Linked DNA regions of Mus musculus. The protein of the gene in region 1 interacts with the protein of each later gene in a pairwise test. Links are inferred from orthologs where the notes say so. Each region holds a gene or a part of one and is shown in the gene's direction. Other genes may lie near its edges. The genes, in order: Abi2, Ift20, Krt20, Etl4, Tle5, Dtnb and Trip6.

What was found.
Region 2: the proteins of Abi2 (region 1) and Ift20 interact in binary tests that used the Homo sapiens proteins (3 or more experiments, as listed by UniProt). The link is inferred for Mus musculus from reciprocal best matches to the Homo sapiens genes ABI2 and IFT20.
Region 3: the proteins of Abi2 (region 1) and Krt20 interact in binary tests that used the Homo sapiens proteins (3 or more experiments, as listed by UniProt). The link is inferred for Mus musculus from reciprocal best matches to the Homo sapiens genes ABI2 and KRT20.
Region 4: the proteins of Abi2 (region 1) and Etl4 interact in binary tests that used the Homo sapiens proteins (3 or more experiments, as listed by UniProt). The link is inferred for Mus musculus from reciprocal best matches to the Homo sapiens genes ABI2 and KIAA1217.
Region 5: the proteins of Abi2 (region 1) and Tle5 interact in binary tests that used the Homo sapiens proteins (3 or more experiments, as listed by UniProt). The link is inferred for Mus musculus from reciprocal best matches to the Homo sapiens genes ABI2 and TLE5.
Region 6: the proteins of Abi2 (region 1) and Dtnb interact in binary tests that used the Homo sapiens proteins (3 or more experiments, as listed by UniProt). The link is inferred for Mus musculus from reciprocal best matches to the Homo sapiens genes ABI2 and DTNB.
Region 7: the proteins of Abi2 (region 1) and Trip6 interact in binary tests that used the Homo sapiens proteins (3 or more experiments, as listed by UniProt). The link is inferred for Mus musculus from reciprocal best matches to the Homo sapiens genes ABI2 and TRIP6.

Annotation. Positions count from the first base shown.
Region 1 is NC_000067.6:60,451,119-60,454,618, forward strand, and holds part of Abi2 (abl interactor 2), read left to right. Parts: intron 1-2,485; coding exon 2,486-2,644; intron 2,645-3,500. UniProt on the Homo sapiens protein: Regulator of actin cytoskeleton dynamics underlying cell motility and adhesion. Functions as a component of the WAVE complex, which activates actin nucleating machinery Arp2/3 to drive lamellipodia formation.
Region 2 is NC_000077.6:78,535,192-78,539,160, forward strand, and holds the start of Ift20 (intraflagellar transport protein 20 homolog), read left to right. Parts: upstream 1-1,169; 5' UTR 1,170-1,385; intron 1,386-3,318; 5' UTR 3,319-3,547; intron 3,548-3,642; 5' UTR 3,643-3,644; coding exon 3,645-3,771; intron 3,772-3,969. UniProt on the Homo sapiens protein: Part of intraflagellar transport (IFT) particles involved in ciliary process assembly. May play a role in the trafficking of ciliary membrane proteins from the Golgi complex to the cilium.
Region 3 is NC_000077.6:99,435,354-99,439,443, reverse strand, and holds the start of Krt20 (keratin, type I cytoskeletal 20), read left to right. Parts: upstream 1-1,290; 5' UTR 1,291-1,346; coding exon 1,347-1,757; intron 1,758-3,928; coding exon 3,929-4,011; intron 4,012-4,090. UniProt on the Homo sapiens protein: Plays a significant role in maintaining keratin filament organization in intestinal epithelia. When phosphorylated, plays a role in the secretion of mucin in the small intestine.
Region 4 is NC_000068.7:20,288,654-20,292,712, forward strand, and holds the start of Etl4 (sickle tail protein), read left to right. Parts: upstream 1-1,259; 5' UTR 1,260-1,353; coding exon 1,354-1,388; intron 1,389-4,059. UniProt on the Homo sapiens protein: Required for normal development of intervertebral disks.
Region 5 is NC_000076.6:81,564,658-81,566,871, forward strand, and holds the end of Tle5 (TLE family member 5), read left to right. Parts: intron 1-15; coding exon 16-60; intron 61-155; exon of another isoform or gene 156-190; coding exon 191-253; intron 254-634; coding exon 635-709; intron 710-814; coding exon 815-1,036; 3' UTR 1,037-1,714; downstream 1,715-2,214. UniProt on the Homo sapiens protein: Transcriptional corepressor. Acts as a dominant repressor towards other family members. Inhibits NF-kappa-B-regulated gene expression. May be required for the initiation and maintenance of the differentiated state.
Region 6 is NC_000078.6:3,571,181-3,575,190, forward strand, and holds the start of Dtnb (dystrobrevin beta), read left to right. Parts: upstream 1-1,210; 5' UTR 1,211-1,467; exon of another isoform or gene 1,468-1,729; intron 1,730-1,803; exon of another isoform or gene 1,804-2,052; intron 2,053-4,010.
Region 7 is NC_000071.6:137,309,399-137,311,441, reverse strand, and holds the end of Trip6 (thyroid receptor-interacting protein 6), read left to right. Parts: intron 1-610; coding exon 611-789; exon of another isoform or gene 790-841; intron 842-1,036; coding exon 1,037-1,157; intron 1,158-1,267; coding exon 1,268-1,399; 3' UTR 1,400-1,543; downstream 1,544-2,043. UniProt on the Homo sapiens protein: Relays signals from the cell surface to the nucleus to weaken adherens junction and promote actin cytoskeleton reorganization and cell invasiveness. Involved in lysophosphatidic acid-induced cell adhesion and migration.

The DNA of each region.
Region 1 (3,500 bases):
TGAGCCATCTCTCCAGCCCCTGAAAAATATATTTTAATGCAATATTTTATATAGCAAATTACAAACTATGTTTATAATAAACTCATAAATTATACTTCAAAGGACTTTAAGATTATTTAAGTTGACTGATGTTTTATTTAAGATTTCAACCTAGTGCTAAGGAGATGGCTTAGCAGGTAAAGGGCTTGCTGCCTAGCCAGACAGCCAGGGTTGTATAAGTTGTCCTCTAATCTACACACGCACACGCACACGCACATGCACACTCTCTGTTGTATGAATGTGCCCTCCTTATAAATAAATGTAATCAATCATTTTAGAAAAGATTTTAACCTCAAATACATTTTGCTGGGATAGGAAAATAAATTTAACTGTTAATATGATGCTGGTTAGTAAATGTATCCTTTTTTTGAGACAGGGTTTTTCTGTGTAGCCCTGGCTGTCCTGGAACTTATTCTGTAGATCAGCCTGGCCTCAAATTTACAGAGACACACCTGCCTCTACCTCCCAATTATTGGGATTAAAGGTGTGTACCACTACTACCTGGCTACTAATAAAACATGTTTTAAAAGATGTCTTTGTCCTAATTGGATTTTGAATGGTATTCTATTTAGATAGCTTCTATAATAATCCTTATGAAGATTTTTCTGTAATGGATGAGTAAAAATATGGACAGTCATTTGGTTGAGATATACAACTCTGTTACACTAGTCCAACTAGTTAAAAAGAGAAATCTTGCAAATGCCCAGAAATAATAAATGGCCCCTAACTAAGAGTTAATTTTAGCAGTTAAATGATAACATAATAATAGGTACTTGGCTGTGCTTGATAGACTTAATATTGATGAGAATTTAGAGTGGATCCAACTTTATAAAATTCATAGTTTTCTTTTTTGAAGATCTTAGGCAATGCTTTTCTCCCTGTTGTCTTTTGCCCTTTCTCCTTTTTATTTCCCCTTTTTCCTCTTCCCCTCATGGTATAGCTTCTCCTCCTCTTCCTGTCTTCCTGTCATTCCCTTCCTTGCATGCCCTGTTGCTTGCTGGTGTTCTTTCATGGGTGGCCTTTTCCTGATATAAGAGGGCCCCTGACTGAGTGGGCACCAAGTGAGGGTAAAGGCAAGGTCGGATTTGAGTTATAGATGGAAACTGGGTGGATTAGGAAAGAATGTTTCCGGTTGATGTTAGCAGTGTATAACTCTGAAGAGGTAAGATAGGTTGAAATGAGTTATAAATGGATAGGTTTCTGGGGTGATGATCATTTTTGATTCAGATTTCATAAACTATTTTATGACACAATCTGGCTATAAGAAGATGAGTATATTGAATTGTATAAAGATGGGTTTGACTTGGCGTTAAAGCATCAAATGTTTTGTTGAACTATTTTGTTTCCTTTTAAACAGTGTTTTTTGTTATCACCACCTATTTTAGAATATGGCTGTATCAAACATTTTTTTGTTTTGTTTTTGTTTTTTTCCCCCAGAATTTAATTCTTCGTTTAGTCTCCAATGTTTAATGGCTGCTTTAAATAATTATTTTTTGGACAGGAGGGGGAAATTAATCTCTTGTGTCCTATAACAATACTGTAGACTAGATTATTTATAAATTATATTAGTCTGACTATATTAGTTCTGGAGGCAGAATATCTAGTATCAAGGTTCCTTAATCTGGTGAGAGACTTTGTACATAGAATAAAAAAGGAGAAAATCCACTTTTGATAATGGTATTACTTACTCATGAGAACAGAACCCTTATGACCTGATAACTGTTTACAGCTGTGGTCTTTTAACACTGGTGTGCTAGGGCAACGCTTCCCAGCCTTCCTAAGGCTGTGACCCTTTAATACAGCTCCTCAAGTTGTCATGACTCCAAACGTAAAATTACTTCATTACTACTTCATAACTGTAATTTTAAAACTGTTATGAGTTGTAATGTAGCTGGGCAGTGGTGGTGCATGCCTTTAGTCCCCACACTTGGGGATTGGGGTGGGCAGAGGCAGATGGATCTCTGTGAGTTTGAGGCCAGCCTGGTCTACAGACTGAGTTCCAGAAAAGGAAGATAACTCAGAGAAAACCTTGTCTCACAAAACCAAAAAAGAAAAGAAAAAAAGAGAAATATAATGTAGATAGGTATCTGATACGTAGGCTGTCTGATGTGTGACCCTTGGGGTGAGAATAGTTAGCTATACTGGAGACTTGGTGTTGGGACACATTCTGTCTGTACATTTTAATTAATTGTGCTTTTAAAAAAATAGTCAATTAAAAGAAAGTCAAAATGTTAGCTTTTGATTTAGATGTTAGTTTTCCAAATGCAATATTTTAATTTTCTTACCTTTATGCTTTAATACAGTATCAGCTGTCATCTTTCATTAATTTGGATAGATACTGTGGTTTTTAATAATCTTACTAGAAAGTGAATGATATACTTAGAAAATTTCATTATTTGAGATGAGTTTCCTTTAATGATGCGTTTGTGTTCTGTTCATTTTCCAGGTCATCCTGTTCAGTTCTACAGCATGAACAGGCCTGCCTCTCGCCATACACCACCTACAATAGGGGGCTCGTTGCCCTATAGACGTCCTCCTTCCATAACGTCACAAACAAGCCTTCAGAATCAGATGAATGGAGGTCCTTTTTATAACCAGAATCCAGGTTAGATTTCTCTTTATCAATTTCTTTTCATCTCTTTTATATTGCACCATAAAAAACAAAACCTTTTTGTTACACATAATTAGCCCATACATGATAGGTGTTTATCCTAGACACATTTGGTAGTTTAGACTATTGTTGAATGAATAGAAGGATGGATGAATACTAAGTTTTTAATACTACTGTATTTTTACTTTAAAAAGTCAATACATGATTTTTATGTAAAGCTAAAGAGCTCATCCTGCTCTTCCTCCATTGGAATAGTTTTCTGTGTGCCTAGTAATTTGCTTTTAAAAACTAGTACTGAATTGGGGCAATGCTGGTGCACATCTTTCCAGCACTTGGGAGGCAGAGGCAGGTGGATCTTTGACTTTGAGGCCAGCTTAGTGTATACAATGAGTTCTAGGATGACCAGCTACATTCATGGGGCAGAGGCAAGGAGAGAAGCCAGTCTAGGCTGCAGAATGAGAGCCTGACTCAAGTGGAGTGTATATAAGAATAGTATTTTTGTTTAATGAGACATCATTGCTCTATGAATTACACAAGTAGGTGTATAGAAAGGTGTTTTGCATTAGGCAGTCAAACTGTCTTAACATAGTTATTAAATCCAATACTGTGGTGGGCTTTGGAGAAATCGATTCACAAAAATTAAATAAAGAATTGAATCATATATTATAGAAAAGCTACCCTTGCACATTTAATGCTACAAATAATAGTATTTTGTTCCTTCCTTGGAGAATGCAAGAGAAAATTTAGACGTATCAACTACATGAATATATTATGTTAACGTACTGTTTAATTTTTAATTTTGGCTAAGAGGTAATTAAGCCTGTGTGAGGTCCTCTGACAAATCATTCCA
Region 2 (3,969 bases), on another chromosome or scaffold:
CTATATTAAGTAGCATATCCTTTTGATGGCTTAATTGCTTTCAGTGATGGAACATGGAGGAAACGAGCTCCGGGAGTCTGACAGTAACACTACAATGCTAGACTGGTGAGCGACTGACCGCCTTACCTCAAAGCGGGAAAAAAATCAACTCCTCAACAAGTTTTAGCAAGTTCCTCACATACTTTGTGTGCAGTCCCATTTCCCCAGAATCAAGGAAGCACATAAACACGTTCTGCCAAATCAAAGAAACCCAAGTGACTAGGCTTGCCAACTGAGGAAGTCAAATCCGGAGCTAATCTATTCTTTTCCTCCTAAGAGCTACTTTGAGTCCTAGATGACGTCAGACCAGATTCCACCCAGACCAATTAGGTCCAAGAGTCCAATGGCAGGTGACGCCCTAGAAAGAAATTTCTGAGAGGATGAAGTTTCCACTGATAGTTTCAGGGCTCTTTCCTCAGGACTTCGCCTGTGGATAGAGGGGTAATCCTGGGGCTGGGGAACATACACGTGTCTCTATGGGAACCTAATGCGAAGCCAAGCAGAACAAAGCGCAAACGATCACGGTAGTTCAAAGACTTGGGGTTCTAAAGGAAGGACACGAGGTACGGCGAGGTGGGAAGGCTGATTTTGGCAAGAAAGGTCAGAAATCGTGGAAGCGGCTCTTATGTTTCACCCAAAGGCTCTCCAGTGGAAATGGAGAAACATCCCATGTCTCTCGTTGCAGTGTAGGCTGCTCTCCCGCCACACCCCTCCTCTTCTGAAAAACTGAGATCCGTGGTGCCTCCCATCCCCAGAAAAGACCTGAACTTCATCCCCGCGCGCCATCCCGTGCCTTTTGCCCAGGACTCAGCAGAGCCTGTCCTTCCCCTCTGCACCCGCACCTCTGGCTCTCACCGTCCGCGGGGACGCCTCTCCGAGTCTCAGTCAAGTAGCAAGCGGACTCGGTGCCACCTCTGGCCTGCGGCTGCCTGCAATCTCGGCTGTGAGCTCACATCCTGCGCCCGCCGACTCCGGAGTTACAGCCCAACCCTACAGATCGGGAAAGAGACTACAAGACCCGGCATGCACAGCGCGCGAGCTAGCAGTGGGTCGAAAACTTGACGTTTGACTTCCTTCTACTTCCGGGTTCGGGAACAAATCTACTTCCCGTGTCGTAGTCCCCGCCCCCTGAGCAAAGGCTTCTGGGCCTAGTGGGCAGTTATCGCGTGTTGCATCTATTTCCCAGCAAGCACCGCAGGGTGGGCGGATGCTGGTGCTTCTGGACTCGGGGGTGACGTGTGGCTCCTAGATCTTGTCTCCGTGGCAGCAGCCGGTTGCAGTTGCCGGAGAGAAGCTTCTACCGACAGTCGTCAGGGCCGCAGAGCGCTGCCGAGGCGGCTCGTCAGGTAGGTCGGGGACGTGGAGGACTTGGGACGGGAGGAGGCCGACGTGACCCAGCGCCGAGGATTGGCTGGACCGGGTGGAAAGCGGCGGTTTCCCTACCTCGGAGTTTTTAGGGATCGGGTTTACACTCAGCTCAGCCTGGCTCCCTCGATGTCACCGGTGAACCGAGGTTCGGACATTGCAGGAGTATAATTTAGTAAAGACAGCCGCGCCATTTGCCCAGTTCTTCCTGTGTCTACGCCTTCTCCAAACTCCACAGCTACAACTATTTGTTGTGCCTGCGGACCTGGGAGAGCCAGGGAGCGTAGAGCCAGGCACAGCCTTCATGCTTAGGAAACTCAATCCCACGTTCCTGGAGCATATTTGTGGTGGGAGTTAGGGGTGGGCTGGGGATCTGATAGCCCGCTATGTACCATATCTATCTTACCCATCTCTTTAAACTGTCCTTTCCAGCCATACTCTCGGTCCAATCCAGATCCATGGCAATCGTGTTTGGCTCCTTTCTTCACTTTTCTCCAAAGTGCTGCATTAAGCATTACTAAATTCTGTCAATTCAGACATCATCTGATCTCTGAACTCCCGTTCGGCTTCAAATCTTTTCTTCTGTTACAGCCTTCTGTTTCCACATGAATTCATTCATTCTGCAAACATTATCAGAGTGCCACTTACCTGCAGGCAGCCTGCTTAGAGATGCTTGGCTCACAGTGAGAAATTTGGAAAGGACGCCTCTATTCTGCTCTTCCCTGTTCCCTCTGTTTGGCCAAGGCAGTGAGTGATCTTTCCAACTCTGATCAATAAGCACTGCCGAAATCCACTGCTAGCGGTTATCATTATAAAAAATAATCCAAGTTCAGCTGGGTGTGGTGGCGCATGCCTTTAATCCCAGCACTTGGGAGGCAGAGGCAGGTGGATTTCTGAGTTCGAGGCCAGCCTGGTCTACAAAAGTGAGTTCCAGGACAGCCAGGGCTACACAGAGAAACCCTGTCTCGACAAACAAAACAAAACCCAAGTTCATTTACTCATCCAGCTATAGCCGGTTGCCAGCCTTGCTCCCTCTTGCTGTTTTGATCCCAGGACCCTTTGTGTCAAAATCTTCCAGCCTTAGGACGCCCCCATATGCTTTTCCCTATGCCCACAATGTCCCTCTCCCTTCTCTTAGAAGATTTTCTGGACGTGTTTAGGTCCCAGATTGTTTTTTCTGAAGGCTTTTGTTGACCTCTCTGCCTACTTGAGTTATGTCCTCCTGTAGAATCCTGACAGAGCACTGAGCGCTGTTCCTCATACCCTGATCACAGTTTGTGTTTATTTGCTTACTGTCTGTCTAGAGACACTATGTTCACTCTGTCCTTGGAGCTGGGATTCAATAAGGGTTTTTGTTTTTGATAAATGCATGTTAACTCAGAAGGCAGTAGGAGTTCAAACAAGTGTTTGCAGTCTCATGTCATATGAACTCTTCCATAGGACCTGGTCCAGTTAGTCCCTAGGAGCTCTTAAATACTCAAACTATCCAACTAGAACAACACAGGAAGGCAATTGTTTTTTTGTTTTTTGTTTTTTTGAGACAAGGGCTTGTGTAGCACAGGATAGCCTGGAACTCAGTATGCAGCCCAGGTTGGTCCTAAACGTGTGTCAGTCTTCTAGCAACACAGTGAGTTGCTAGAATTAGAGTCACGCATGACCATAGCTAGCTTTTAACTCTCATTTTAAAATTCATCCTTTTTGTTTTGTTTTGTTTTTCATTTCAGGGCATGCATTTGAAAAGCCTTTTTGGGACCTTAAACAGGGATTTATGACTATGCTTTTATCTCGCTCGCAGCTTAGGCCAGATACACCCAAGTGAACTGAAATTGTCTTTTCTCCTTGCTTAGTGATATTTCTGTAAAAATCACTTGATGCAATATAATCCTTCAGGTTCACGTGTCTGTTTTCCTCCAGCTAAGCTGTGCTGCTCCAGGGCAGGCACCATGTTGCATTCATCTTTACGCCCAGCATCTAGCAGTGTCGGCATGTAGTAGGCACTCAAGAAATGTATGTTGAATGAACGATGTCTGTGACAAGCAACTGGACTTTCCTCTTTCCTGACCCTTGCTCCTATGACATACCTCCTGATTGCCACTGTCACCCCTTCAAAGCAGACCTCTAGGGCTTCCTGGAAGGGAAACAGGTGAGGCTGAGAGCTGGAGGCAGAGGGATGGGTGTATGAGGAGGGCTGGGGTGGTGTCTGGGATGAAATTCAGGTCGCTGCTGGTTTCTCTGCAGCTATGGCCAAGGACATCTTGGGCGAGGCAGGGCTGCATTTTGATGAACTGAACAAGCTCCGAGTGTTGGACCCAGAGGTCACCCAGCAGACTGTGGAGCTCAAGGAGGAGTGCAAGGACTTTGTGGACAGTGAGTACCATCTGGAGACACAGTGTTGTTCTGCTTTGAGCAGTTTCCTTACCTGACCTTGGCCATTGTTCTTGGGTCTACCAGAATGAAGTTGCGTGCTCTCTGGATTGAGCCTGGTCTCTGGGTTCCCATGTGTACCCAACCTTCTCTGCTTGCCCTCTTACACTGCCATGGAGTCCCACATTTAGTGCCAAGCAA
Region 3 (4,090 bases), on another chromosome or scaffold:
TTAGGAAGATAGAAGCAAAAAGAATCCCCTGGTGGTGTCTAGCTGGCCTCAGACAGAGGAAGCAGTATGCAATATATGCAATATGCCAGTTATTAAAAGCAGGAGTTTCGCAGTAATTTAATGTTGCTGTTTCTTTTTTAAGAAGCACTAGATTTAAAAATATTTGCAAGATTCTTATAACAAGTTTGTTTTTGTTTTTGTTTTTTTTTTTAAATAAGGTCCCCTTGCTAACCTAGATGTTCCTGGCAGTTGCAGGCTGCTGGGAGCCAGGCAGAGGATCTATGACCTCTGACAGGCTGCTCACACACCCAGTCCAAGGCCGCACACCCACAAGCATACAGGCAGCACTAATTAGATCCAGTTGGTTATTTTTAAAAAGAAAAAGATAAAAAGAGGTATGAAGTTTGGGTGGGGTTGTGTTAGGCGCTTCGGAGGCAGCTGGAGAGGCGAGTGGGAGAGGAGTTTATCAAGATACGCTACATGTGCATGGATGAAATTATCCAAAAATGCTATTTAAAATATCTTTTTTTAAAAAACTCCAAAATCAACTGACCCACCGCCCACCGATAATCATTTACATATTCACCTACTGACCGTATTCAATTCTTAAACGGGGGTGGGGGGAGCTGCACTTTGAGACAGTGTCTTGTTACACAACACTGGGCTAGACTGGAACACCTTACTTCAACCAGGCTGGCCTCAAACTAGTCCTGATCCCCCCCACCTCTGACTCCCGGGTGCTAGAATCTCAGGTGCACACCCACACACCCAGCTTCACTCAAGACATTTCAATAGACTGTAAATATAAATTCTAAACAAGGATAAACTTAAAAGTAAAAAAAAAATTTAAAGAAGCATAAAACATTTTTTAAAAGAAAATCATTTGAACAAGCCATTGTCTTTTCTCACCAGTGTGACTTATATTATGTTCCCACAGCTGTCTTGTTCGATGCCTGAATTATTCATATAGATTGTAAATATTCTTTATTTGTATACAGGATGAAAAAAAAAAAACCTGCCAGGGCAGGTGCAAGACCTGAAAGGACACCCCTTCCTCGTCCTTTTTGTTATCTCTGTTTATTAAAAAGAAACCTCCACTCCCACCACCCCCACAGGAAAGCCTTTAAAAAGTGCCTCTGGTAGAAATTTCTGGAATGGAATGAAACGTATTGCCGTACAAAAGAGGGGGAAGGGGAGACAGGAAGGTGGACTGTGTCATTCCTGAGGTGACACGGCAGCAGAGGAGGAGTCTCTTGAACTCTATAAAAGGTCATCTCCACAGCAGCCCGAGACAGACAGGCTGTGCTCCAAGTCCAGGCTACAGGCGTTGCCTCCCTACATCCCAGATGGATTTCAGTCGTCAAAGTTTTCACCGAAGTCTGAGTTCCTCCTCACAAGGCCCAGCACTCAGCATGAGTGGCTCGCTGTATAGGAAGGGGACTGTGCAGCGTCTGGGGGCTGCACCCAGCGTCTATGGTGGGGCTGGAGGCCATGGCACTCGCATCTCTGTCTCCAAAGCCGTAATGAGCTACGGGGGTGATCTCTCCAACGGATCGGACCTGTTTGGGGGCAATGGGAAACTGGCAATGCAGAACCTGAACGACAGATTGGCAAACTACCTAGAAAAAGTGCGCTCCCTGGAGCAATCCAATTCCAGACTTGAAGCCCAGATCAAGCAGTGGTACGAAACCAACGCGCCGAGCACCATCCGAGACTATAGCTCCTACTACGCACAGATTAAAGAGCTGCAAAATCAGGTGAGCCATGAAGCCTGTAATTTCTACCTCACTGTTTAGTTGCCTAATGGATTGAGAGATGTATGCTAGGTGAATTCGAACACATGAAGCAGATTAGGTTGAAATGTATAATTGAAAAAAAAATGTATTTTATCATGTGGTATCTGTAAACAGGATGAGTCTAACTCACATTTTTTCTAAAACTTCAACTAATTATATATAAAATATGATCATTTTATCATCCAAAATTGCAGTTCAAATCTTTGTTATGGCTTACAATATAAGGTCTTCATTGTGGATAATCTTATTTTTCAAAGACCTCCAATGGTTTCTATATGTGAGTTTGCCAGTAGTCTTTACTAACTTTGAAGACTCAAGTTGATTTAAAGAGATTTTTCATCTTTCATTATATGAATGTTATAACAAATATATTAACCTACTATGGGTATAAATAACAAAAGGGTTCAGGGTGGATACAGATTACAGATATTAATGATATGTATACTGATTGATAAATAGTTGTGTGATAGGGGATGGATGGATGGATGGATGGATGGATGGATGGATGGATGAACTGCTCTTTGATACAAGATCTGTGTATCCCAGGCTAGTCTGGACCTCACCATCCTCCTGCCTCCACTGCCTCAGCACTGGGGTTAAAGAACTGTGCCACCATACACGGTTCTGATACCTGGATTTTTTAGTGTCTTATTTAATTATCTCCTCACTATCACCAAGCATTTTATAATGCACCTCTGTGATAATAAAATGTTCTATTGCCCCCAATTTAAGTTTATTACAGTCATATCACAATCTGTTCCTGTGTCATCCATGGTAGGTGGGGTTCCCCTTTCTATAAAGCCAATGGAATAAAAGTGGGAGACTTCGCTCCTGACTGAGGACCTCAAGCATCGGCACACACCATTTGCCCAGCCCCGGGGTTCTTATCTCATCAGGAAAAGCCTCCCCTTGGGTTTTGTTTAAATCTCGAAATGATTGCAAAGGCCTTTAGAGCAAAGACCTTTGTCTTAACCACAGGCCTCTTGTCTTGAGTTCTGTTTGAATTACAGGCATCAATGCAGCTTAATTCAGACTTCATAGCCCATGAAGCTGTGTGGTGCTTACATTGCCCTTCTCATCAACAGGACGGTCCTTCAGGCTTCTCGATACAACACAAAATTCAAATTAAGCACTTCTCTCATGGTTGACGCTTTTGAATTGACTTGGGGATTACCCATAGTACTTAGGCACAGCCATTAGTGACCAGTGGTTAGGGACCTCTCTCCAGGAATAGCCGCTGAAAGGGATATGTCTAAAATCTTCTAGAAGTAGACTTCTAATCTACTTCTTAATACGGTGTTTGCCTTGAAACATGAGAACCTGACTTCAGTCCCCAGGTTACAAAGCAAAGCTGTAGAATGACTGTGTGTGCTTGTACTCCCAGCATTGGGAAAACAAGCAGATTCCTGGGACTTGCTGGTCAGCCAGCCTGGCCAACTTGGTGAGTTCCAAGACAATGAGAGACCCTGCCATACACACACACACACACACACACACACACACACACACACACACACAAAGGTAGCACTTAAGGAATGGCATGTAAGATTGTCCTCTGACCTCCACATACATACACCTGTGCATATAAACATGTACACACAGAGAGAGATGCACACAGATCCAGGATGTATCCATCCTTCTGTCCTGCGCCTAACTCCTACAGATAGCAAGTGCTTTAAGTGGAAACAGGCACAGACCACAGAAACCATCACTCAGAGAGGTAGATGCAGGGATGCTGTGCAGGGCAACAGCCACGGCGGCGCATTCGCTGCTATAACTGGAAGATATCATGGAGGGGCCTTGAAAGTGTTGTCTGAGCTGAGAGGTGAGGAAGCTGGAGCTCACCAAGTGAGAAGGGATAACAGCAATGTTCCAGTGTGAGCAGCGCCACAGACAAGGCGCTCACAGAGGCCCAGTGATGTGGGTGGCTTCAGCTCTCATTTTGTACAATCAGGAAGGAACTAGGCCAAATCATGACATGAATACCTCTGTCACTGCTCTTCCATGGTCATTTGCGAAATGGGCATCACTTGTGATTTAATCACAGTTGTCTCTGAGGACCAATAAAATGATCTTACACTCCTGCCTGCCCAGGGAAAAATGTCATTCTTCCTTCCTCTCACATTTCCCAGGTTAAGGATGCTCAAGTACAAAATGCCCAGTGCGTCCTGCGAATTGACAATGCTAAGCTGGCTGCAGAGGACTTCAGATTGAAGTAGGTTCTCTAAACCACGGTAAAAATATGTCTTGGGGGTGTGTGTGTGTGTGTGTTGTTTGTATGCATTTGTATGTAT
Region 4 (4,059 bases), on another chromosome or scaffold:
AAAAGAGTATGCATACAACCTCAAAATGAAGTGGTTGTAGAAACAGCAGTAGAAGCTTGAGCACAGACTGACAAAGCTGATGGTTTGTTCATTGCTCTGTGCTATATTTTATTGATAATGAAGCTAACTAAATCTCTGGGTTCAATGTCTCAGAGTCACACACCTCAGGCTTCCTGACACCTGGGACATTCATCTCTCCTAGACTATACATAGTATATAGACGACCATTTTGACTCCAAAGCCATGCTTTTAATAAATAATTAAATACAAATTTAATGTTTTAAATAATAGTTAATTGAACTCAGTACAATAACTAACTTGAGTTCCATGAGCTAGCCCATATTCTGGAAGTTTGAGTCAAGCCCCAAAAGTGTTTTCCAATTTTGGTCAAGGAGGTCTTTCTTATGGTCGTCCACTATTTCTTTCCACTTGAAATGTGTTTTTCTGGACCCCAAGAGGGATTTATAGCAACAAGTACCCATGGAGAAAGCACTGCTCATCTCAACAGTTGGTCTATTCTGTGTGTACCAGGTTCACTGCCATCAGCAAAATCACCCTAGCTCCTAGTCACATGGAGGTCACTGATGGTAGAGGAAGAATGGAATGTCAGCTTTAGTTTTCAGGGGCTTCCCAATGACCCTAGATATTCCCTACATAGATTTGCTTGCCATCCTCTGCAATAATTTTAAAATGTTTGAGGCTGGACAATTTTATTTAGGCAGAATTCTTTGTGATGATCCACCCTCTGAATTTGTCCACAAGCTCACATCATTTCCCACTTAGCCTGGGATTATATGACTAGCTTAGTCAGAGAATGCAGTCTCTCTGAGTGCTGTGCTCTCTGGGTCATAGAATACAGTTTTTCTGTATGCTGTGCTCTCTGAGGACAGTGCATGGCATTAAGTCACAGGGGACTCAGCTTCTCTGTGTCATTCTGATTCCCAATCAGCCTTTCCTCATGTCCTCTTGCCCTTGACCATAGAAACCTGCTGGTATTTTAAAGGTTGGTCTAGTTTAGTGTGCAGTGTGTTTACCTTGCCTTGTGCTATCCAGCTCATGTTTTGGTTAAAAAACAAAAGATGGAAAACTACCAGTTAAGAGCACTGAGCTTGAATAGCCATGCATATGATTCCAGTATATCCCGTTCCACATACCAGCACTTTTTCAATCAGTCTGAGACTCTAATTATTCACTAAGCAGTTACTGAGTGAAGACTTACAGTCTTGTTTGTATTTTACAGATGGAAATACTGGGATCCTAAGTTTGTAACTGACCATACCATACTCCAGAGACAAAGGTGGAACTGCAGCCCAGGACCCCTGAAAGTCGCCCTCAAAGGATTATACTACTTATATGTCACTCTGTCCTCCACCCTGTTGTCTTCTTAGGTGAGTTCTGACTTTTTACTGAATCATGAGATGAGTGAATGAATTATTAGGCAAAGCAATATTTGTAGAGTGTGGCTTCTGTAACTCTTCCCTGAGCTCAGGGACTAAAATGTCTCAGTCAAACCATGATGCTTTCTTACACATACTCCTGAGATGCAGCTGAATATTGCTTTACCTGTTATTTATTGATCTTGTAGAGGATAGCATGAGCATATGTACAAATTTTCAGGATGGGTATTATGTTATTTGACATTGATATGCCTATCTTTCTGTTCAGACTCTGGCTAGAAGCCATCATAACCTCTATAGAATAAGAAAATACTCAAAGACCATGCATGCTTTCTTTGTCCAAATTGGTCTGCATGAACGGCCTTGCATCTTTAGACCAAAAATGACCTAGTGAAGTTAGCCAGATTCATTCAGCCTGAGCTTTCACCACAAATCCATCAGTTTAATATCATTGGACCCAGAGAAAGGTCACAAAGAGAACAGTTCTTACCATGGTGGCATTCTTATTTAACTTAGTTCTTGGTTTATCCTAAATACTTTCTGCATAGTGGTGCCCCAAATCCCTGAGAGAACAACTTAAAGGCAGAGGGGTTTATTTGGGCTCACAGTTTCATGGGGTTTATTCCCTGGTCACGTAGCTTCACCTTGTACAGAGCAACATGGCATCAGGATATATGACAGAAGACACCTGTTCACTTCCCAATGAACAAGAAGCAGGGGAAAATAGGAAAGAGCCAGGCTCTACCCCCAAAGTTTCCCAAACCTCCCAAAACAGTACCATCAGCTCAGAGCCAGGAGTCCAACAATATGAACTGTGTGGGAATTTCATATTGAAACCCAGTCCGAAAGTCAGACACATCACAGAGCCAGCACACCAGACAGAAGGCAGGTCCTGGATATGAAGTTTTAGGAGTCATTGATAGGAAGCTACTAAGCTGTCCTTCAGCAACTTCAGAAGCAAGAACTTATAGTTTCCAGGTCAGTATCAGCTCTGATACACGAAGTTCCTGGGGTGACCAGGCTTACAAAACAGTGTCTGAGTTGAGAGAGCTAGAGTCTGCTTTGAGTCATCTGGGAAGTTTCAGGGCTGTCGGACTTGATCAGAAAAAGGCCACATGTGAATAAGGGGCTCTATGTACTGAAGCCTAGAGTGACTGGCTCTGTTCACTCTTCCAGAAGCTGCCAGACCTCAGAAATGGAATCGAGAGGGTTCTTCACCCTAGTGATTTACTCTGATTTCCCTTTGTACACATATGGACTCTATTTTCTACTGTCTTTATAAATATTGTTGTGACTGCCTCTGCCAAGCTACCTTTCTCACCCCAGGGAGAAGCCAAAGAGCAGACATTCCCACACCACCTCCCACTCCCTTCCTATTAGATACAACTGCAAGGGACAGGAGCAATTTGGCTAGTCAGAGTGATGTGTGTATGTGAGTCTTTAGAGAGCCAGGCTAAGCTCAGAGTCAGGGGGCTTCAATAAATAACCTGTGTCCCTCTCTGTGTGTGGTTGGGGCTGGAATGCCTTTCTCTTTAGAGTTGTCCAAAGTATCAAAGATCAAAGAGTCAACCATGGCTGGATGTGCTGCTCACTACAAAGCCTCCATTCTCTGTGGGAGGATTCTGGCGAAAGCAGCAGTAATTCTCTCTGGTGACTACTTGCTGATGGTTGGGGTTGGAGGGCTCTCAAAGAATTTACAACTACTTTAAAGGGCTTTTTAAAAAAAAATACAGATGAGAATTCACTTTCAAAGGAACTGAAAACTGGCATCTTTTTGGGTGTGGAATGTGGTAGAAGGGCGAAAAAAGTAAAGAAATTGACCCATTACCACATGGAATGTGGTTTGGGTTGGTCTGGAGGGGGAAGAGTGGCCTGTGTAATTTATACACCGTTGGGAAAGCACTAGAGGCAGCCTTTGATAAGCAGAGCAGAACATATCCAGAGATTTTTTTTTTAATCCCCAACTAGATAATATATTTGAAAAACACACTTTGAACTTAGTTTGCTAGGGTTTGGAGGCAAAAAAGTGTGTTTTGGTTTTCAGTATTATAGATAATCACAATGCACAAAGTGAGAGCTGTTCTCTGTCCCATCCATGTGTGCCTCATGCCTAACAGTTATGTGACATCTTTAATCCTCATAGTTGTGCCAAAGGGGAACGTTTTGTTACCTACCCATTAGAGAACAGGCTCTGCATGGCTGATGTCGTGCTTGCTTCAAGGTCATGCAGTTGTTCAGTGGAAAGCTGAGCATTTGAACAGAGCTCTGGAACAGAGAATATCTGACTACCATTTAGCCTGTGGTTAGTGCTTCTGGCTTCTGTTGCAGTGTCTGGCATTATGGAAGCTGATGGAACTCTTGCTTTCTGAACTTGAGAGTGTCACAGAAATATAACGATGGTTCAGGCTCAACTAGATGATCCCAAGTCCAATATGCCTTGCTCCTCATTGCACTGTATCACGTAAGCATGATGTGGCTTATAGACCTGCTTCATATCACAGGCACATTTTCCATTGGAAAGTGTCCTAAATTGTATGATAAAGAAACCATGTTAAGTGGGCTAGAGAGATACCTCAGTGGTTAAAAGCACTGGCTACTAATCCACAGGACCCAAGTTTGATTTCCAGAACCCATTTGGCAGCTCGTAACCATCTATAACTCC
Region 5 (2,214 bases), on another chromosome or scaffold:
CTCTCCACCTCACAGTACTATGAGATGTCCTACGGATTGAACATCGAGATGCACAAACAGGTAAGTCTCACTGTCCTCCTCCATGTCCTCAATGCCCTGTGATTCCCAGACTGAGCGTTAAGGCCACTCCCGTTACCCCCTCCCACCCCTCCAAGTGCCCCAGGTACTGAGGGAAAATCGTGTGTTCCAGGCGGAAATTGTGAAGAGGCTGAATGGGATTTGCGCCCAGGTTCTGCCCTATTTGTCACAGGAGGTAAGCAAGCCACCAGCAGGGGGCAGTGGGGTCCCCTCCGCACCTTGCTGAGCACTCCCTGGGCACGCACCTGCCCTTTCTGAGCTTAGCAAAGGTGAGACGTGGAGCAGCTGCACTCAGACCCCTGTGGCAAGGCAGAAAGAGCTCCCTGGGTGGGCGGGCACAGGCGATGGGAGCCCCCCCCCAGCTCTAAGGAAATTCCTGTGAAGTTGGATTCCTAGTCTCCCACCCCAGCAGCCCCTGAGCCCCTAGGACAGGACTTCTCTTGCGCTTTTGCACTGGTTGCCTACTGCACAGGAGTCGCCATTCCCCCGCCCCCGCCCCTCAGTCCCTTTCCAGCTTTGCCTGAGAGAACTCTGTCCCCTCCCTTGCCTATTCCAGCATCAGCAGCAGGTCCTGGGAGCCATCGAGAGAGCCAAGCAGGTCACGGCTCCTGAGCTGAACTCCATCATCCGAGTAAGTCGGAGCCTCTGGTGGACTGGGGACTGACTTGACCTGGGTGGCCAGGGTCAGGTGACAAGACCCTGGGCTGACTCTGTCACCCCCACCCCCACCCCACAGCAGCAGCTCCAGGCTCACCAGCTGTCCCAGCTGCAGGCGCTGGCCCTGCCCCTGACACCGCTGCCTGTCGGGCTCCAGCCACCGTCCCTCCCTGCAGTCAGTGCAGGCACAGGCCTGCTGTCACTCTCTGCTCTGGGTTCTCAGACCCACCTCTCCAAGGAGGACAAGAACGGACACGATGGGGACACCCACCAGGAGGATGACGGAGAGAAGTCGGATTAGCTCTTGGGGAAGGGGGAGGGGGGAGACCAGGGGAGACAGGCACAGAGAGCGCAGTGTTCTAAGGGCCACACAGCACACAGCTCTGTCACTACCCAAGCTTACACCTCCAGTCCTGGTTCTGGCTGTGCACCCTGGGCCTAGGGGACGCCAGAGGGACACCCCAGGCTAAGGGTTCTTCCCCACCTTCAACATTTCCCTGGGCCACAGCCACCAATCTCGGCCCAGAATGTACACAACGCTAGCTGCCCCTTTCCACCCTGTGCACCCCGAATCTGCCCCTATCCCCTTCTCTGCTTCCTGCACTGCACACCTGCTAGTCCCAGACCCCTCCCCCCAGCTCCCCCAGCTCCGGTTCCCTCAACCACAAAAGAAGGGGACAGAGAGAAAGCATTGGCTCGGGACTGCAGTGGGGGTGGGCACCCCACAAACTTCCCTCCCCTCTTCCCCAAATAAACGTGAGGGTTAAAAGTTGGTTTGTTTATGATTTCTTTCTTGTGCCAGTATTCTATAGCTATCATCTCAGAAAGGAAAAGAAGGAAGCCCCAGGAGTGTCTGTCATAGGGTTAGCTTTGTTGGTCGCCTTGGTCTCTGTCCAGAGGTCAAAGGCCAAGCCGCTGTACTGAGGATGGGGTCTAGCTGTGCCTTCAAAATAAAAACATGAAAAGGTTGGCCACTGTGTCCCTGCTTCTGTCTTGTGGGTGGGGACCCCTTTCCTCAGGGCACCCCGTGTCCTGCAATAAGACATCCCTGGAGCAACCAAAGACCCAGAGAGGGTGAGCTGGGGACCTGGGCCCAGACAGTGCAACTCAGTGCTCAGATTTCACACTGTTTTGGCAGGGTGGCTGTGGTACCCACATGGGTCCCTTGGTTACCTTCTGGGAGATGGCCTGGATGCTCCCTGTACCCCTCCCAAGCTAGGCTGTCCCCTGGGCATGCGCCTCGGTTTGGGGACCTTTTCCTTTCTTGTTTTTCTGAAACAGGGTTTTCTCTGTATAGCCCTGAATGCCCTGGACTCATTCCTCAAACTCACAGAAATTTTCCAGCCTCTGTTTTCCAAGGCCAGGGATTAGTCTTGTGTGCCACCTGTTTTCTTTATCTGCTTTGTTTTCTGTTTTGTTTTTCTGTTTGCTGGTTTATCATGTCTGTGTCCTGTTTGAGGACGCCTTGCAGGGATCTGT
Region 6 (4,010 bases), on another chromosome or scaffold:
GCCAGTCTGATTGAAGCAGGTGGCATGATCTGCCTTTCCATAAGGTGCCAGAAGGCTTCAAAAAGCATCCCTAAAGCACACAGGCCTACTGCTGCTTTCCTTAACATGTGCACATCCACACGCACCAAAAGTCTAATGGATCATGCCGCTGTCTTAAAGTTGAGGGAAAACATTTATCTTTTGAGCCATTAAAAGAAGACTTTGATGTCCCTAGAGAGTTTGGAAAAGCTTCTATAAAAAATGGCAATATGAGGGGCTGGAGAGATAGCTAAGTAGTTAAGAGCACTTGCTATGTTATCAGAGGACCTGGGTTTGATTCCCCAGCATCCAGGTGTCATTTCACACTCTTCTGGCCTCGGGGTGGCACTCACAGGGTGCACACACATTGCAGCCCAAACACTCATACACATAAAATAAAGTCCTTTAAAAAAATGATATGAAGCGGGGGGGGGGGGGGGGGGTAGTGGCGCACGCCTTTAATCCCAGCACTAGGGAGGCAGAGTCAGGCGGATTTCTGAGTTCGAGGCCAGCCTGGTCTACAAAGTGAGTTCCAGGACAGTCAGGGCTACACAGAGAAACCCTGTCTCGAAAAACCAAAACCAAAAAAAAAAAAAAAAGAGTTGGTAATGAATAAATAAATAAATAGATGCTAGATAAATAAATGAAGCTTTGTCGCCCCTGCTCCGTTGCTCAAGCTGTTTAATGTCTAAATAGTCCCACTTTTAGGAACTACTGAACAACTAAGCGGAAAGTAATGTCTCTCCTTCATCCTCTCACCGCATCCGGCTGTGGCTTGGCTTTGCGCAGGGGACCAGACTCGGTCCTTCGCAAGGCTGCTCTTCTCCCTAAGTTATGCATTCTTGGGGACCAGGGGCCGTGACCCGGATCGTGTCCATCGGGCACCAGGCGCGGAGTCAGGGCTCAGCGAGCCTGCTGAGGCAATGTGGAAAGTCACTCGGGGGAGGACCCGCGCTCGAGGCAATGATTCACCGGGTGTTTCTTCGCATTCCTTAAGGTGCAGTCACGTCGGCGCAGCACGCAGCCGCCCGGCAGCTACCTGTGGAGTGGAAGGGCAAGTCCACCTCCACCTCCGCGGCCGGCGCACAGCAGAGGCCCGGAGGGGGCGCGCGAACCCGCGGGAGGGCACTCGGCCGCCTCCCCGCCCCCTCTCGCGGCGGAAGCCCCGCCCCTCCGCGCGCCCGCCCTCCGCGCGCACCCGCCCTCGCCCTCGCGCCCTCGCGCCCTCGCGCCGGGGGCGGGCTCGCTGCGCGTGCCGGGCGGGGAAGCGGCGCGAGCCGGCGCCGTTCCGTTCGCCGCGGGGGCGGCTCCGGGGCCTGAGTGGGCGCCGCCGCCTCAGTCGCTGCTTGCTGCTTCAGCCGCCTCAGCCGAGGGGGCCGGGTTGGAGGAGGCTGCGGCCGCCGGAGAGCCACGCGACGGCCCCTCAGCTCCGGCCGGGAAGCGAGCCAGGTGGGGAGTCCGCCGGGGCTGGAGGAGCGAGAAGGAGGGCTGCGGGGTGGCGGAGTGCGCGGCCCTGGAGCGGCGACCCTTGGGAGACAGCACGCCGGGCCGGGGAGGGCTCTCCGGTCACCCGCGCGCGCGGGGGCCCGCGGAGCGCAGAGCCGGGCTGCGCGCGCTGCTGATGCATCCTGAGCCCGGCTGGCGGGGAGGAGGCTCCGCGTTAGGTGCTGAAGGGGGCGAAGGCGGCAGGTCCTGGCAGAGGGCAGGTGAGGTAGGCAGGCCCTGGCAGAGGGAAGGGAATTCATTCCAGATCACCTCTCAGTGTCCCCCGAGGCTCCCGGTAGACGAACCTGTCCACCCAGGTCACCCCTGTTGGGCACAGTGTCCGGAGAAGAGGGAGGATGCAGCTGACGAATGCTTGCTGTTAAATTTCTGTGCCAGGCCTTAGGGAATCAGGGAGACCTTCCAGCATTCTCTGCAAGCGTTTATTGATTAGCTACGGAGCAGGAGAGAACCGCGGTCAGCGCCTGGGTCACGACTTTATCACTCTCAGCCATCTTTTGCTGTTGAAGTGCTGACAGTTCGGCTGTGAAAGTATGCACACAAAATGTAAAGTGCTCTATTTCATGTTTCCTGTTCTGTTCACTTCAGGTCCCTTTAGGATTTTCCCAGCCCTGGGAAACTGGAGCCGTAAGTTGCTTGGTTTGTGGAGAAAGTAAGATAGTTGAGGAAAGCTGGTGGGAACTATTGAGAAGAGATTTGAAGGATCTTACTGACATTTAAAAGAGGGGTGGGGAGGGGGAGAAGAAATCTGGAAGAAGAATCTTGCCTTCCCAGCTAGAATTAAGCTCCGTGCCTGTTTTCTGTTCAGTCCTCCGGATGTGGCCTGGATCCCAGCAGCCCTACAGTGGATGCCCACTGCAGAATGGATGGAGGAAGCAGGGGCTTGAGTGTCAGTCTCTGTAGAGTTAGGGATGATCGCTGGACTTCCTTTGGTCCTCGGATTCTCTTTTTGCCTCTTCAGGTAACCCAGGCACTGGTAGGTTAAAACAGTGGCTTAGGTGGCAGACTCCGGTGGCCTGTGGCCACTCTTCTTCATCCACGTGGTTCTTGCATGTTGTGCACCAGGAGCTTAATCTCTGGGTGGTGCTCTGGTCTTTTCTCTCTTTGGCTTTTTTCTGGTCGTTTGAGGAGGATGGGAGGGTGCTTTTGCTTAGAGAACACTTTATAATTTCTGTCCTGCCTCTCGGATCTTGGTTCTGAAGGGAGAGAATGCTTCTTTCTGTCTCTTTAGTTCTGTAAGGGCTGGACTTCTGTCCTCCACCTTGCCTGGACTCTCCAGTCCCAGGCTGCTGCTTCCTTTCCCTCGCTTGCAGTGCCTGTTGGATTACTTTGCTTGCCAAAGTAAAACTTGACCTTTTATGTGTTCTCTGAGGATTTTTAGCAGACTTAAGTGGAGCTACCTCTGAAGGGGTTGTGCAGTCAAGGTGGTGCTGGCAGAGTCTTTATGTTCACTGAATTTTGCCCAGGAGACAGAATTTCTACTTAAAGTATTAGCGTGCAGAGGATTTCCGTTTATCATTTATTTCATGTCTTGGATGTTAACATAACTGACTCCTCATATAAAAAATGAGAGCAATATTAATCCAGACTTGTCATTGCATGTATAATAAGCCTTCATTTATTTTATTTTAATTACTCTGTACTTCAGAGTATAATCATTAAGTTTCGATTAGGTTTTGTTTTAGGGTGCCTTGTTTCAGGCACTTCTAACATTTTATTTAGATATTTAATTTACATTTATTTGAAAATAAACCCTCTGTCCCCGGTTTTTTTTTTTTTAAATAGGCTCTTGCTGAATAGCTCCAGCTGGCTTGGTACTCGATATACTGTAGCCCAGGTTGTAAGCTGGCTTTGAACTTATGGCTATCCTTCTATTAGTCCCTTCTGTGAACCACCATACCTGATTAAAACAAACCTTTTCTTTCGTCTTTTGTCTTTTTCCTTTTTTTTTTTTTTTTGATAGGGTCTCTCTGTGTCATTCTGACTAACTTTGAACTTGTCTATCCTCCTATCTATGTGCCCTGGAATTACAGGTGTGCACTACTGTGCTGTCTTGATGTGTAGTTTACATAGGATGAGATGGGTAGATTTTGCATGTTGAGCTGGGTGTTTATAAAATGGTACATATTGTGGGTGTGGCGGCGCATGTCTTTCCATCTCAGCCCCTGGGAGGCAGAAGCGAGTTCATTACTTCACAGTGCCACCACTGCCTGGCTCTGAATGGTTTTTAATGGAACCCAGAGAATGCTTTTAGATTTGTTACAAGAAGATATCTAGGGCAGTGGTGGCACAAGCCTTTAATCCCAGTACTAGGGAGGCAGAGGCAGGTGAATTTCTGTGTTCGAGGCCAGCCTGGTCTACAAAGTGAGTTCCAGGACAGCCAGAGCTACACGGAAAAACCCTCAAAAGACAAAAAAAAAAAAAGTTTATTTTCTCTGGCACTTCTTTTAATCTGAAAGAGAAAAGAATAAGAATTGGAGGGCTGGAGA
Region 7 (2,043 bases), on another chromosome or scaffold:
CAGGGCTTCGTGCATGCTGGACAAACACTTTACCAACTGAGCTATGGCCCCAGGCTAAGGAATGAGTTAACTGTGGAGACTAGATGAAGGAGGGAAAGACAGCTCCTCCTTTCAAGCGGGTGGGTGCCTGCCTGCCTGCCTGCCTGCCTGCCTGCCTGCCTGCCTGCCTTCCTTCCTTCCTTCCTTCCTTCCTTCCTTCCTTCCTTCCTTCCTTCCTTCCTTCCTTCCTTCCTTCCAGACGGAGTCTTACTGTGTAGCCCAGGCTGATCCTAAAGTTATGGTTCTCCTGCTTCAGCCTCCCAAGAGCTAGGAAACCGGATATGTGCCACTGTGCCAGCTGGAAGGCATTTTAGAGTTGAGGTTATTTGTGAAAATCTGACAGCATTCCTCAGAGGCATTACTGATTCATCTCACTGAAAGATGAAGTGTGTGGAGACCAAATCCCTTGTCTAGAGGCTTCAGTGCTGCTCTTAGACCTCAGAAATGCTAAGTCCACCTTCCACTGAATCCCATGCAGGGAACTACACACACCAGATGGCTGGGCAGAGAGTACTCCTTCCTGGCTGGAGTGGCTTCCCTCCACTGACCTTCCTTCCTCTTTTTTCGTTAGGCCACCCTGGAGAAATGTTCCACATGCTCTGAACCCATCCTGGACCGAATCCTGAGGGCTATGGGGAAGGCGTACCACCCTGGTTGCTTCACCTGTGTGGTATGCCACCGTGGTCTTGATGGCATCCCGTTCACAGTGGACGCCACCAGCCAGATCCACTGCATTGAAGATTTCCACAGGTCTTGCCTGGATTCAGCATGTCTTCACTGACCTATTTCTTCATGTCCCAGGGTCTGCCTCTTCTGTTTCCACCTTCTGGTGCTCTCTTTCTTTGACACCACTTTCTTCCCCAAGACCCAGACACATCTCTTATATCCTTCTCATCCCCACCCCTGCCCCTTCCACCTTCATTGGGCTTCATTTTGAGTCTCCTGATGGTGTGGGAGGGAGGGACCTGATAGCCTCTTTGGTTCCCCTCCACTGCAGGAAATTTGCCCCACGATGCTCAGTGTGTGGTGGGGCCATCATGCCGGAACCAGGTCAGGAGGAGACGGTGAGAATTGTTGCTCTGGATCGAAGTTTCCACATCGGCTGTTACAAGTGTGAGGTGAGGGGGGGTCCCTGGGCAGGAGCGAGAGCTTTGCAGAGCCCGGGAAGCTGGGGGAAAAGCACTGTGGGAAAGTCCCAGGCTAATGAAGGTTTTGTTCTTTCTCACAGGAGTGTGGGCTGCTGCTGTCCTCTGAGGGAGAGTGTCAAGGCTGCTACCCGCTGGATGGGCACATCTTGTGCAAGGCTTGCAGCGCCTGGCGTATCCAAGAGCTCTCAGCCACTGTCACCACTGATTGTTGACTGCTCTGAGAAGTACCTGCTGGGATCTCAGCCCCCGTCCGTCCGTCCGTCACTTCCCCCAACATCTACCCTTAGTGTTTGCCATCAAATGCTGTCTTTTCTTCCTCTCTTCATGAAATAATAATCCCTGGAGCATTTAAAAGCACTTCCAAGTCTGTTCTTTATTGGAGTCTCACAGGATGAGGCTGGTGAAAGCTTGAACTCCAGCACTCAGGAGGCGGAGGCAGAGTGTGAGTTTGAGCCCAGCCTAGTTTACATACTAAGTTCCAGGACAGTGAGGGGCTACATAATGAGATCCTGCATATCTTTTATTAACTCTCATCCTGTACTATTGTTGTTGTTACATAAATTAACCTGTTTACTGTAGGCTAGGGATGTCTCAGATGATTGGATTTCTGCTGGTCTTTCAAGTCCTTCAGACTTCTGATGCCAGATACAACAGCAGAAGTGGTGTCGCAGATCTGGGCTGCACCAGCCACCACAGTGCCAGATGCCAGTGGCCTGTTTTCTTCATCTTGGTCTTGCTCCAGAAGGAACAAATATACCTGGTGTGCTCATCGATTTCAATTTTCCATGCCATTCTCCAGAGGGAGGCATCATCTCGGATCCTATGTTTACTTACGATGCTGACCTGCTCGGTGCAT